Linked DNA regions of Arabidopsis thaliana. The protein of the gene in region 1 interacts with the protein of each later gene in a pairwise test. Each region holds a gene or a part of one and is shown in the gene's direction. Other genes may lie near its edges.

Region 1 (7,042 bases):
AGATCGAAGCCTTCAACATAGCTCTTTTGGGGAAGCAGCTTTGGAGGATGCTTACTGAAAAAGATTCTTTAATGGCGAAGGGGTTCAAAAGTAGGTATTTTAGTAAATCTGATCCTCTTAATGCTCCCTTAGGTTCGCGACCATCCTTTGCCTGGAAAAGTTTTCATGAAGCACAAGTGCTTATTAGACAAGGTGCAAGGGCAGTGGTTGAAGATGGAGTCTCTGTGAATATCTGGACGGATCCTTGGATCGATTCTAAACCGGCAAAGGCTATCCAAATGATGAAAAGAATTCCTCTGGACAGTCAACAAGCGGCTAGTGCTATTAACTGTGTTAAAGACGTAATGTCGTTGGATGGACGAGGATGGAATAACACTCTAGTGAAAATGCTGTTTACAGAGGAGGATCAGAGGAAAATCTTGGGTCTCCGGCCAGGGGGTAAGGATACAAAGGACAGGTACGCTTGGGACTTTAGTCGCTCCGGTCACTACTCGGTGAAATCAGGTTATTGGGTCATGGCTGAGATTATCAATAAAAGGAGTGCACCTCAAGAAGTCCTTCAACCAAGCTTGGAACCAATTTTCCAACAGATTTGGCGGTTAGAGGTTCCACCTAAAATTCATCATTTTCTGTGGAAATGTTTGAGTAACTGTCTTTCTGTTGCTGGAAACCTTGCCCACAGACACCTGGCTAGAGATAAGGGCTGCGTTAGATGCCCATTCCTAGGAGAGACAGTTAATCATTTGCTTTTTAAATGTACCTTTGCCCGGCTTATTTGGGCAATCTCTCCCTTCCCAGCTCCTCCAGGGGGTGAATGGGTTGACTCTCTATATTCAAACATGTCTCATGTCCTCATGTGCAATCAGTCTCAGCCTCACAAGGCTGACTCTCATGAGATGGTACCCTAGATTCTTTGGAGATTGTGGAAAAACAGGAATGATCTAGTGTTCAAAGGAATAGAATTCTCAGCCAAACAGGTGATCCTTAAGGCTACAGAAGATTTGGAGGAATGGAATAACCGCAAGGAACCGCAGCCACAAAAAGTTCTCCCTCAACCGCCAGGCATGCAATGCAGGAGATGGCAACCCCCAAGCTACGGTTGGGTGAAATGCAACACAGATGGTGCCTGGGTTGATGTAGCTCCGAACTGTGGCGTTGGATGGGTGCTGAGAAACCAGTTTGGAGAGGTGTTGTGGATGGGGCTAAGGGCCTTACCAAGAGTGCAGTCGATGCTGGAAACTGAGCTTGAAGCCCTGAGATGGGCAATCCTTTCATTGTCCAGATTCAATTATAAAAGAGTGATCTTTGAGTCGGATTCTCAGTTCTTAGTGTCTTTGATCAAGAATAATATAGACCATCCAAGCCTAGCTTCAAGGATCCAAGACATTAGGAATCTCCTCCATCACTTTGATGAAGTCAGGTTTCAATTCATATGGCGTGAAGGAAACAGAGTGGCCGATAGAATTGCAAGGGAATCTCTTTCTTTAGTGAATTATGATCTCATTTTGTATTCTGTTATGCCAGACTGGATCAAACACATTGTGGTTTTAGAATCCGTGTAATCGAACGTTGGATAATATAAAGTTGTTGTTGAGCCAAAAAAAAAAAAAAAAAAAAAAAATTCAGAGCCTGTCTACAACGTACATATATGTACGACATACGTTGAACAAGCTAATCCTGTGATACATGACGAACGACACTACCTATAGTACTCTTAGTACTGGAACCTCCCATAGACAATTAACAATCAACAACTAAAAAACGAATCCCATACTTCATGTAAAAGGTTTAAAAGGTCAAGGAGTTTCCACTATATATCTTCTTGTAGCCAAAAGTTCAAGTCAATAAGACATGTTTTTATAATGATTAAGCGCATAACAGTAACAAGGGGTTAAAAAAATAGAAAATGCAAAAAAATGAAATAAACAAATGCAGAAACTACAAAGAAGACGCGCTTGAATCGACGACATAAAAGAAGACAAAAAAATTCGACATGACCCATACAATCCATTAACCAAAAAAAAAAAGAATGAAAAGGAAAGTTTTTTCATAGGTTTCATCAACTCTTAGTAAAGAGAGAGAATGGATCTGAGATCAATTAAGCCACTAATTGATTCATCTGAGATCAATTAAGCTACTTCTTAGAGCGAGTCTAATCCTTACTTCTCTTCGTGGAGTCAACAAATTTTGTTGTTGTTCCATAACGCATCTTCAAATTTCAATTGTTTTTTTCATTCATAAACTTGAATCACAGGCTTGGTCTTGGAATCATTGGTCAAAAGAGAGAGGCTACAACTTTAAAAGGTAAACCAAATATGAAAAGAATTGATGTTGATCTTAAGCTTATCTTGTTCCCTTTGCTGCTCTTGTTTAGTGTCTCGGTTTTTGCTTAGGGGAGTCTGTAGATCGAGTCCAATACATCTTCTTGGCATGAGCTTAGTCGATGCATTGAATCAATCTCGAATAGTTTATGCTTCTGTTTTTAAACTTTTTTTTTTCTTTTTGCATGAAACCATGTTTTTAGGATTTCTTTTATGCAATGTTTTGAAACCCGATCCGGACGATGAACCGGACTACCTTTTGGGTCACCAGGTCATCGGGTCAACTGGATTAGACCACGAATTAATTAGTTAAAATTTATTTAATAAATTTAATATTAATAGAAATTTTAGAGTATTTTATAAAAAAAAAAATTTAGTATTATAAATATAAAACAAAAATAATCATATCATATTTAATCAAATATAAAATTATATTATGTTTAACAAAATATAAAATCATTTACACCCAAATATATATAGAAAAAATCAAACAATAATAATAAAGTGGTTAAAAATTTGAAATCCAACTAAATGTCTAACACCGTAACAAATATATTAGAAGATCATCAATGACAGAAATAAATTAATAAAACATTGTGAATTCAAACAACTAATCTCGGTTGTCTCTCTCACCATTCAATTCAATTTTAAGGCGGTATTGTAAAGTCTTCACCAAAATCTAAAACATCAAATGAATTTAAGAACTGAAAAAACTTTTAAAAATAATTGAATAAATTCTAAAATCTCATATTTTATTATAAAATCAAGAGAACTTTTTAAAACCCACACCCGGCCGGTTCAACCGGTTCACCGGGTCACGAGTTAATTGCGAGTTTTTGTGGGTTTTTTCGGTTTTGAACTTGTTGGGTTTTAGCACTAAACCCAAACCGGAAAAGTGTTCGGGTCACGGGTTAACCGGTCGGACCGGACGGTTCGGGTCGGGCGTGAAAACACTGCTTTTATGTAAAAAATAAACTTTCATTTTCACTAATGATTTTTTTTCCTATTAAATCAAAACCCAAGAATTAATATATGAAAATAATTAGGGGACGCAAAAAAATTTAAAAGAATAAGGACAACGATGTAATAAATGATTTTTATAATAAATGATGTTTTTATATAAAAGAGGTAGATTAAATGAGATTTTATGATTTCGTTTGTAAAAACCTTAAACTACAACCAATATGAAATAGAGGGAGTATGTTTTACTCGGTAGATAGGTTACTATTCAGTACATCAGATTCATGTCGCATTAATTGGATTACAAAGATGTTTGTTGCTTTTATAAAGGGTAGTCATATATCTTCCTTTTGTCTATGACTTTATAACATTTCAAAATTTTAATCCTGAATAGGCCTTCAATAACGTTGGACCGGCTCTAAGAGGACAAAGGGTAGTCTTATATCTTCAGTCTTCTACAAGCCAATGGTTGAAGGGTTCTCATTGTCATTGATGTTCCTCCTTGTTTCACATTTCTTTGTCTCAGGTACGGTCACTTCCACATAAGTATAATTTTTGGTTTAGTCGCTATTTGATGAATTTTCTTTCTTATTTTAAAATTTTGTTTTAATGGCAGGAGTAATGTCGAGAAACTTTACTATAGAGAACAAATGCGATTACACTGTCTGGCCGGGATTCCTAACCATGACTACTGCGGTTTCGCTCCCCACCAACGGCTTCTCCCTCAAGAAAGGGGAGTCACGTGTCATCAATGTGCCACCGTCATGGTCAGGTCGTTTGTGGGGTAGATCGTTCTGCTCCACCAGCTCAACAGGGAATTTCTCATGTGCCACGGGAGACTGCGGCTCCGGAAAAATCGAGTGCTCCGATTCCGGAGCAAGGCCTCCTACGACGCTAATTGATTTTACCCTTGACGCTACCGACGGTCAAGACTTCTACGATGTAAGCGTCGTGGATGGTTACAACCTTCCGTTGGTTGTGGTCCCACAACGTCTAGGGAGTGGCCGGACATGTAGCAACGTTGGTTGTGTGGTTAACTTGAACAAGACTTGTCCGTCGGAGCTTAAAGTGATGGGAAGCTCTAACAAGGAACATCCCATTGCTTGCATGAACGCTTGTCAGAAATTCGGGTTGCCGGAGTTCTGCTGCTACGGTGAGTACGGTAAACCTGCAAAATGTCAACCGACGCTTTACTCTACGAATTTCAAGAACGAGTGTCCACTCGCTTATAGCTATGCTTATGACAATGAAAACAACACCTTCAGATGCTCAAACTCACCTAACTATGTCATCACCTTTTGCCCGTAAGTCCTCGTATATAACTCTCCTCTAGTAACTTTCTATTTCGTCAAAGACATCCTACAGCTTTAATTTTGACCATTTACTCTAGTTATATTTTCTAGAATGTGGTAATGTAAATAATCAATAATTGCAATGCGTGTGGGGATTATAGCTGAGATTTACCCTAATGTCTGATTAGCTAGCGTGTGCCTATTGATTTTTAAAACATTGGTCTTTCGGACAAACTATGAAACTAATATGTAATAATGTCACTTGTTGGATAGCAACGACATAAGTTCAATGTCTCAACCATCCAAGGAAACTAATGGAGGAACGAAACGTAAGTTTATTTTATTTACTTTTTCATACCTTATGTTATTTTAATTTTTGCTTAAAAGACTTTTTGTTTGAATGTTCTTACAGAAAAGTCATCATGGAAGTTAAAACTCATAGTTGGTACCATATCTCGCTCAATCCATAGTACTTTTGTATACGAAAAACACCTCGTTTTTAATTCTTCTTAATTATCTTATTCCAGGAGTCTCAGCAGCTTTGACCCTGATGATCTTAATTGTGGTCGTAATAATAGTGAGAACAAAGAATATGAGAAATAGTGAGTGGAATGATCAGAACGTTGAAGCAGTTGCAATGTTGAAACGATACAGTTATACAAGAGTCAAGAAGATGACAAACTCATTTGCGCATGTTCTCGGTAAAGGAGGATTTGGAACTGTCTACAAAGGAAAGTTAGCCGATAGCGGTCGGGATGTCGCAGTTAAGATCTTGAAGGTGTCAGAGGGTAATGGAGAAGAGTTCATTAATGAAGTAGCAAGCATGAGTAGAACATCTCATGTCAATATTGTTTCTCTGCTTGGATTCTGTTATGAAAAGAACAAGAGAGCTATAATCTACGAGTTCATGCCGAATGGGTCCCTCGACAAGTATATTTCTGCGAATATGTCAACAAAGATGGAATGGGAAAGATTATACGACGTTGCGGTAGGTATCTCTCGCGGCCTAGAGTATTTACACAATCGGTGTGTCACGAGGATTGTCCATTTCGACATAAAGCCGCAGAACATACTGATGGACGAAAATCTTTGTCCTAAGATTTCAGATTTTGGTCTTGCTAAACTCTGCAAAAATAAGGAGAGCATCATATCAATGCTACACATGAGAGGGACCTTTGGATACATTGCCCCTGAAATGTTTTCCAAGAATTTTGGAGCAGTTTCGCATAAGTCAGATGTTTATAGTTATGGGATGGTAGTTCTTGAGATGATTGGAGCAAAGAATATAGAAAAGGTTGAATATTCTGGATCTAACAATGGTTCAATGTACTTTCCAGAATGGGTCTATAAAGATTTTGAGAAGGGAGAAATCACAAGGATTTTTGGAGATAGTATAACTGATGAAGAAGAGAAAATTGCAAAGAAATTGGTATTGGTTGCTCTATGGTGTATACAGATGAATCCATCAGACCGTCCACCAATGATCAAAGTCATTGAGATGTTAGAGGGGAATCTAGAGGCTCTTCAAGTACCACCTAATCCTCTCTTGTTTTCACCCGAGGAAACGGTTCCAGACACTCTTGAAGATAGTGATGACACTTCAACCTTCTTTAATCCAAGTCATTTTGAAAGAGGTACTCTCTTAGATAGTGAAGATGTTTTACAACATGGGTCAAGGTCCTCCTAAACTAAAGTCAACCGGAGAGCGGATCTCTTTAAACTTGTCATGATCTTTAGCTATTTCTCGATTAGTTTTTAATAACTTCTGACTTAATAGTGTGTTTCTATGCTTATTAGATGATGTTTACTGACGCAGGCACTCAATATTGTTGGTTAATGAAGACTATTTTCTGTTGTTTTTCTCTTGGAAAGAGAGAAACGTTAATATAAACTCCCCAAAACAATGTTAAGATATCAATAAAATTCTTTTGTGTTTCTTGATAAAATCTTACGATAGGCGTTCAATTGTTTATAGTAACTTTTGCGCCAAATTTAATGTTCTTGTTCGTTAACCCCAAAAAAATTTAACCGTTTAGCAAAGAGAAAAAGGAAAATTCTAACCATTTGGAGATATATATCAAATTTTGTGGGATTGAGTAATGTTCAGGGTGTAGGTCTCCTTGATCAAGTGGTTGACCACATGTTAATAATTATTTGGATAATTGCATATATGCCATTTTCACGATTTACGTATATGAGTGTATACAACTTAATTAATTTCTAACTATTTTTTTCTTTTTTGTACCAAACACTATTTATATTAAGTTATCAGAAAGAGATTTTCCTATAAAGAAAGCCATTCAGGAACCGATTTGCTTAGATGGGAAAAAAAGACATTTTCGTGCCCGAGTTTTCTTAGCTAAATTATCTGCTCGAGTATTAAGACTACGAGGAAGAAATCTAATACTAAATGAAGGGAAAAAACAAATTAGAGACCGAAAAAAGCCAATTCCGCTGCAAATAAAAATT
Region 2 (4,853 bases), on another chromosome or scaffold:
CACTTTTTGAGAGATCTGAGAGGAAATAGAGATTAAGAGAGTGAGACGAGACATGGACTAACGAGTCAAATAAAGAGTGATTCATTTGAACGAGAATAAATAAATATATCAATCTTTTTTACATTTTCTTGATTTTCTCTATAAGAAAGAAAAAAAAAAAGACAATTTCTAGGGAAAACACAAATTCGAAAATGATGTGAACGGACAAAGAAGAAATGCTTTCGATGTATATAAAGTATAAACGTTAAAGAAGAAGAGATCAAGAGAAGAATGAGTGAAAGACAAGAGGTCTTTAAAGGAGTTTATATGGAGTCTAAATAAATGAACGGTTAGATGAAGACTAAGGTCTATGACCGTTGGATTAGATTAAAACTGCCATATTTCTCTTGCTTGGCAGATAGTCCAAACCCGAAGAATCTACATTAAATATGACACGTCCCATTAACCTTTAGCCTACATTTATCATTATCACTGAAACGTTTTGATGGGTTATCAATCACAAATTCACAATACGAAAAAAAACAGTAGTGTCAAACTATTATGGTATTTTAGCGTGTAATTCGTTACGCAGATATTATTATCTATGGTTGATTTTGAATCTGAAAATATGATCTATCGAAGAAAGGCCTGAAATTATTTTATTATCTGAATATGTTTTGTCGGAGCTTACATGCTTAGCATGTTTGAACTTCGAAGATGAAGACAACTATGCCACCACACGTGTGCTGGCCAAGTGGGACAAAGTTTTGAACCTATTCGGTAACACTCACACGAGATCAAATCCCCACCATCTCATTTTATAATGTCGTTTATTTATTTGTTAGTGATCATCTACTGTTTTTTAATAAGGTTAGTGCCCTAGTGATCATCTACTTGTCTGTGATTTTGTAAAAAATATATATAGAATTAAAATTATATTACGAGAACAAAATGTGTACGGTGTGTCCTCTAGTTGCGTTACTTGTGTACGTTGATGATGGTTGATATATATACATATTCATATCAGGACAAAAAAGCTTTTAAAAAGACCAATAAAGATAGATCTAGTTTTGAGTAATTGGAGGATTCACTAAGCTTTTTGGAGCTAAAATGGTGAATTTCCCACGAATCAAATCTGAGAAGAGAAGCTTTCTATATTTTGAGTTACTTTACACAATTACACGTTCATTTGTAAATTAAGATCGTGTTTGTGCTGCATCCAAAAAATTCTTGGAATTTTAAAGTAATGAAATATAACTAAACAAAATGACCACTAAAAAATAAAATAAAAAGCACATGAGAGATGAGTGATTATACTCTGATAAATTAGCTAACAAAATTATGTATATATAAAAAAGGTTTTATGCAGTGTAAATTGTACTTACACACTTAATCAAAGCAAAACAAAAATATTAAACCGACAATAATACGTAAACCAAAAAACCAATATTCCTTAAAATCAATTTGTGTTTCCAACCGACAAGTTCTTTGTATATATGGTTAATCATATTTTGTTGTAGTCCGTATCCTAGCTAAAAGACGTTTAAACGTTCATAATGGATATGACCCACCCAGCTGGTGAAGATATTCGTTTTTCGTGATCATATATATATGTTTCTTTTTGCCCATCCCTGTTTCTATTAACCCAAGTTAAATTAGCTATATATGAGCAAAAACTATGAGTTGAAGTTAAGCACAATTTCCGAATCACAAAAAAAAAACAAATTGATTTGGACCTTTCGATAATAGGAATCAGAAAGAAGTTTGTTCCAAACACTTCTCTTATATAAATCCCAACTCATCAGCTTCGTGTTTCCGTACAGTGCGTACATATACGAACGTGTCACTCGGCTTTTAACGTCAACTTAATCGAGAGCCCAATTCAGGCTTACTATAAGCCTTAATAAGCCCAATATTAAAAGTCCCTGATTATTGTGAGCCCAATATTAAAAGTCCATGACTATGGTGAGCCCAATAATAAAAGTCCATGACTATGGTGAGCCCAATAATAAAAGTCCTTGATTAAAAGGCCCATCACCAGTGGAGCGAAGAAGCGGAGGAGGGAAGAGGGATGCGATCCTCTCGTCATCGCTGGTTCCATCAGTTTCAGTGAGAATCAGATCGTCGTTGTACTGAGAGCTCCGGCATTGGTTCACGGCGGAGCTGGAGAGTTATCTAAGAACGGAGAGGTTACTGATCTGAATTGTTGAAGATCGGAAAATGACAGAATCGAGTCTGGATCTGCAGGAATCTGGTTGGGAAGAACTTAGGCGGGAAGCTCGTAAAATTGAAGGAGATCTAGACGTTAAGCTCTCTTCTTACGCTAAGCTAGGCGCCAGGTTTACTCAAGGCGGTTCGTTCTTCTTCCTTTCCGCTTGATCATGCTATCTGTGTCTTTCTTTGTTATTTCCATTGCTTTGAATGTTGCTGTTATGTCTACTATCTGAATGTGGGGGTTAGTAGTCTGTAATGTGATATAGATCTAGGAATCAATGTTGGATATGATCTCTTCACCGAATTGAATTTGATCGCCATTGTTTGCTCAGTCTATGTTATGCTTCCCCAATGCTTAATTCATGTGTGGTGTTTGGTAGAGTAAAGTTAAAATTGGTAATGTTTCTCTCAGATTCCTGTCAAAATTATTTTTCTGTGAATGACTAAGGTAAGAAGAATTTTTGTGTGTTAAGCTTACTGTTTTGCATTAGCTTTCAGTTTTTAAGAATTGCATTGTTGTATGTATCAGATACTGATCTTGTTATGAATTATGAGAAAGTATTGAAATGTGTTTTGGTTTCAGGGTATGTTGACACTGGGTCTCCAACCGTTGGATCGGGGAGATCATGGAAGTCTATGGAGATGGAAATTCAATCGTTGCTTGAGAAGTTGTTGGATATTAATGATTCCATGAGTAGATGTGCTGCATCTGCTGCACCCACAACATCGGTTACTCAAAAACTAGCAAGGCACAGGGATATACTTCATGAATATACCCAGGTTTTCTTGCACCATATTTGACTTCTTTCCTTTCTAAGCTCTTTGTTGTATTCAATAGCTATCCCCATCACGTAAGTTTATTTGTTATTTTTCGAAGTTTGAATGACATTTTGGAGAATTATAACTTAGTAATATATCGGGGATCTCAAACTTGAAAATTCTGATCATGCTATTGATGCAACAATCTTCAGCTAAATAATTTTGGTGCATTATGCATAAGGTAGATAAGTTGATAGATGCCTTTGCATAGAACAAAGTTTTGGTACTCCTATCCACTGTTTGCGTATCATGCATCAGTGATCAGTGATACTAGCTGAGTAATTGCAGTCCCATTTTGAAAAGGAAAACCCCTTTGCACTAGTGTAGATTTGTTTAGTGATACTTATGTGTGTTCTGTAGTAATATGAAATCATACGTATTATAGGGCCTATTTTTTCATTATAATGATATTTTAATGTGAACTTGTAGGAGTTTCGAAGAATAAAAGGAAATATAAACTCGTTGAGAGAACACGCTGAGCTTCTGAGTTCTGTCAGGGATGACATAAGTGAATATAAGGTAAAGATCCTATAGCCTCTTAGTTTAGAAAATGAATATTCTTATTATTGGAGATACACATTCTTCTATGCTCACATTTTGATTGGAAGTTGGGTTCTGTTTTTGCTTCTGCAGGCTTCTGGTAGTATGTCACCAGGTGTGCAAGTGTTAAGGGAGAGAGCTTCAATCCATGGAAGTATATCCCATGTAAGATACTTTCTGTAATCATGGCATTTGTAATCTGAGTGTTATATTCTGTTAATAATAGCCCACTTTGTAAGGTAATTTTCTAATGAGGATGTTATGGAGAATTTGGCTGCAGATTGATGATGTGATTGGTCAAGCTCAAGCGACAAGAGCAGTTCTTGGCTCTCAACGATCTCTGTTTTCAGATGTTCAAGGGAAAGTAAAAAATCTCGGAGACAAATTCCCAGTGATTCGTGGCTTACTTGGTATCTCTATTCAACCTCTATATGATATTCTCAACTAATCTCATTAGCCTTCTATTATCCTTAAGCAACTTTTGGTTTTTTCAATTAATAGGCTCAATTAAAAGGAAACGTTCTCGGGACACACTTATCCTCTCCGCTGTCATCGCTGCTTGTACGTTGTTTCTAATCATCTACTGGCTCTCAAAATAAACAGAATGTTCATACACCTAAGCTATAAAACGAGTTTGCCTTGACATCCCTAGATCGATTTTTTTACAAGTTTTTTCTTGCTTTTGTGTTTTTGCCATTATGTTGGGTTATATGTTTGTAGGACAATATTACACCCTGAATCATATCGTAAAAGTAAAATTCGAAACATATATTTCACAACATCAAAGATCCACCCATGTGACTTCATTCAGGTACTTACTTTTTATTACCACACGCTTAAATTCTTCAACATTGGTCCAACATACAATGTGGTCCAATACAACACATTATGCTCTGTTTTATTATGTTAGATTTTTATTACTCTCTCTTTCCCTTAGTTTGGTCCTCTCGACCACAATACTTTGTACGAAAAAGTAATCCAACTCATAAATTCATCTTTCAGCTTACATTTACATCCACTCAGGTCATAATATCTAAAGGCCTCACTCTCTTTATTTTGAGTGGGTACACACTTCACTAATGATGATCCAGTCCCTTGTATTTATTTTCCTGTCTATACTCTTATGTGCCCTACATATAGTTTCAAGAAGTGCTAATCAATGTGGTTCGTACCGGTTTAGAGATATTGTGGTGGGCCAAAGCCCACATAATAGCCAGGCCTGATTGACTTTTCTAAGTTTTCGTTCCTAATAAGTAATAACTATATGGTCAAATTATTGTGGACCTATCAAAAACAATTTG

What was found. The genes of interacting proteins can lie anywhere in the genome.
Region 2: the proteins of PR5K (region 1) and GOS12 interact in a protein complementation assay, tested with the Arabidopsis thaliana proteins (one large-scale study listed by BioGRID).

What each region holds. Positions count from the first base shown.
Region 1 is NC_003076.8:15,292,543-15,299,584, reverse strand, and holds PR5K (PR5-like receptor kinase), read left to right. Parts: upstream 1-2,001; 5' UTR 2,002-2,304; intron 2,305-3,675; 5' UTR 3,676-3,746; coding exon 3,747-3,807; intron 3,808-3,897; coding exon 3,898-4,585; intron 4,586-4,846; coding exon 4,847-4,902; intron 4,903-4,985; coding exon 4,986-5,018; intron 5,019-5,100; coding exon 5,101-6,207; coding exon of another isoform or gene 6,208-6,260; exon of another isoform or gene 6,261-6,389; coding exon 6,390-6,463; 3' UTR 6,464-6,537; downstream 6,538-7,042. UniProt on the Arabidopsis thaliana protein: Possesses kinase activity in vitro.
Region 2 is NC_003071.7:18,636,987-18,641,839, reverse strand, and holds GOS12 (golgi snare 12), read left to right. Parts: upstream 1-1,800; 5' UTR 1,801-2,199; coding exon 2,200-2,332; intron 2,333-2,722; coding exon 2,723-2,973; intron 2,974-3,441; coding exon 3,442-3,531; intron 3,532-3,645; coding exon 3,646-3,717; intron 3,718-3,832; coding exon 3,833-3,962; intron 3,963-4,053; coding exon 4,054-4,151; 3' UTR 4,152-4,323; downstream 4,324-4,853. UniProt on the Arabidopsis thaliana protein: Involved in transport from the ER to the Golgi apparatus as well as in intra-Golgi transport. It belongs to a super-family of proteins called t-SNAREs or soluble NSF (N-ethylmaleimide-sensitive factor) attachment protein receptor.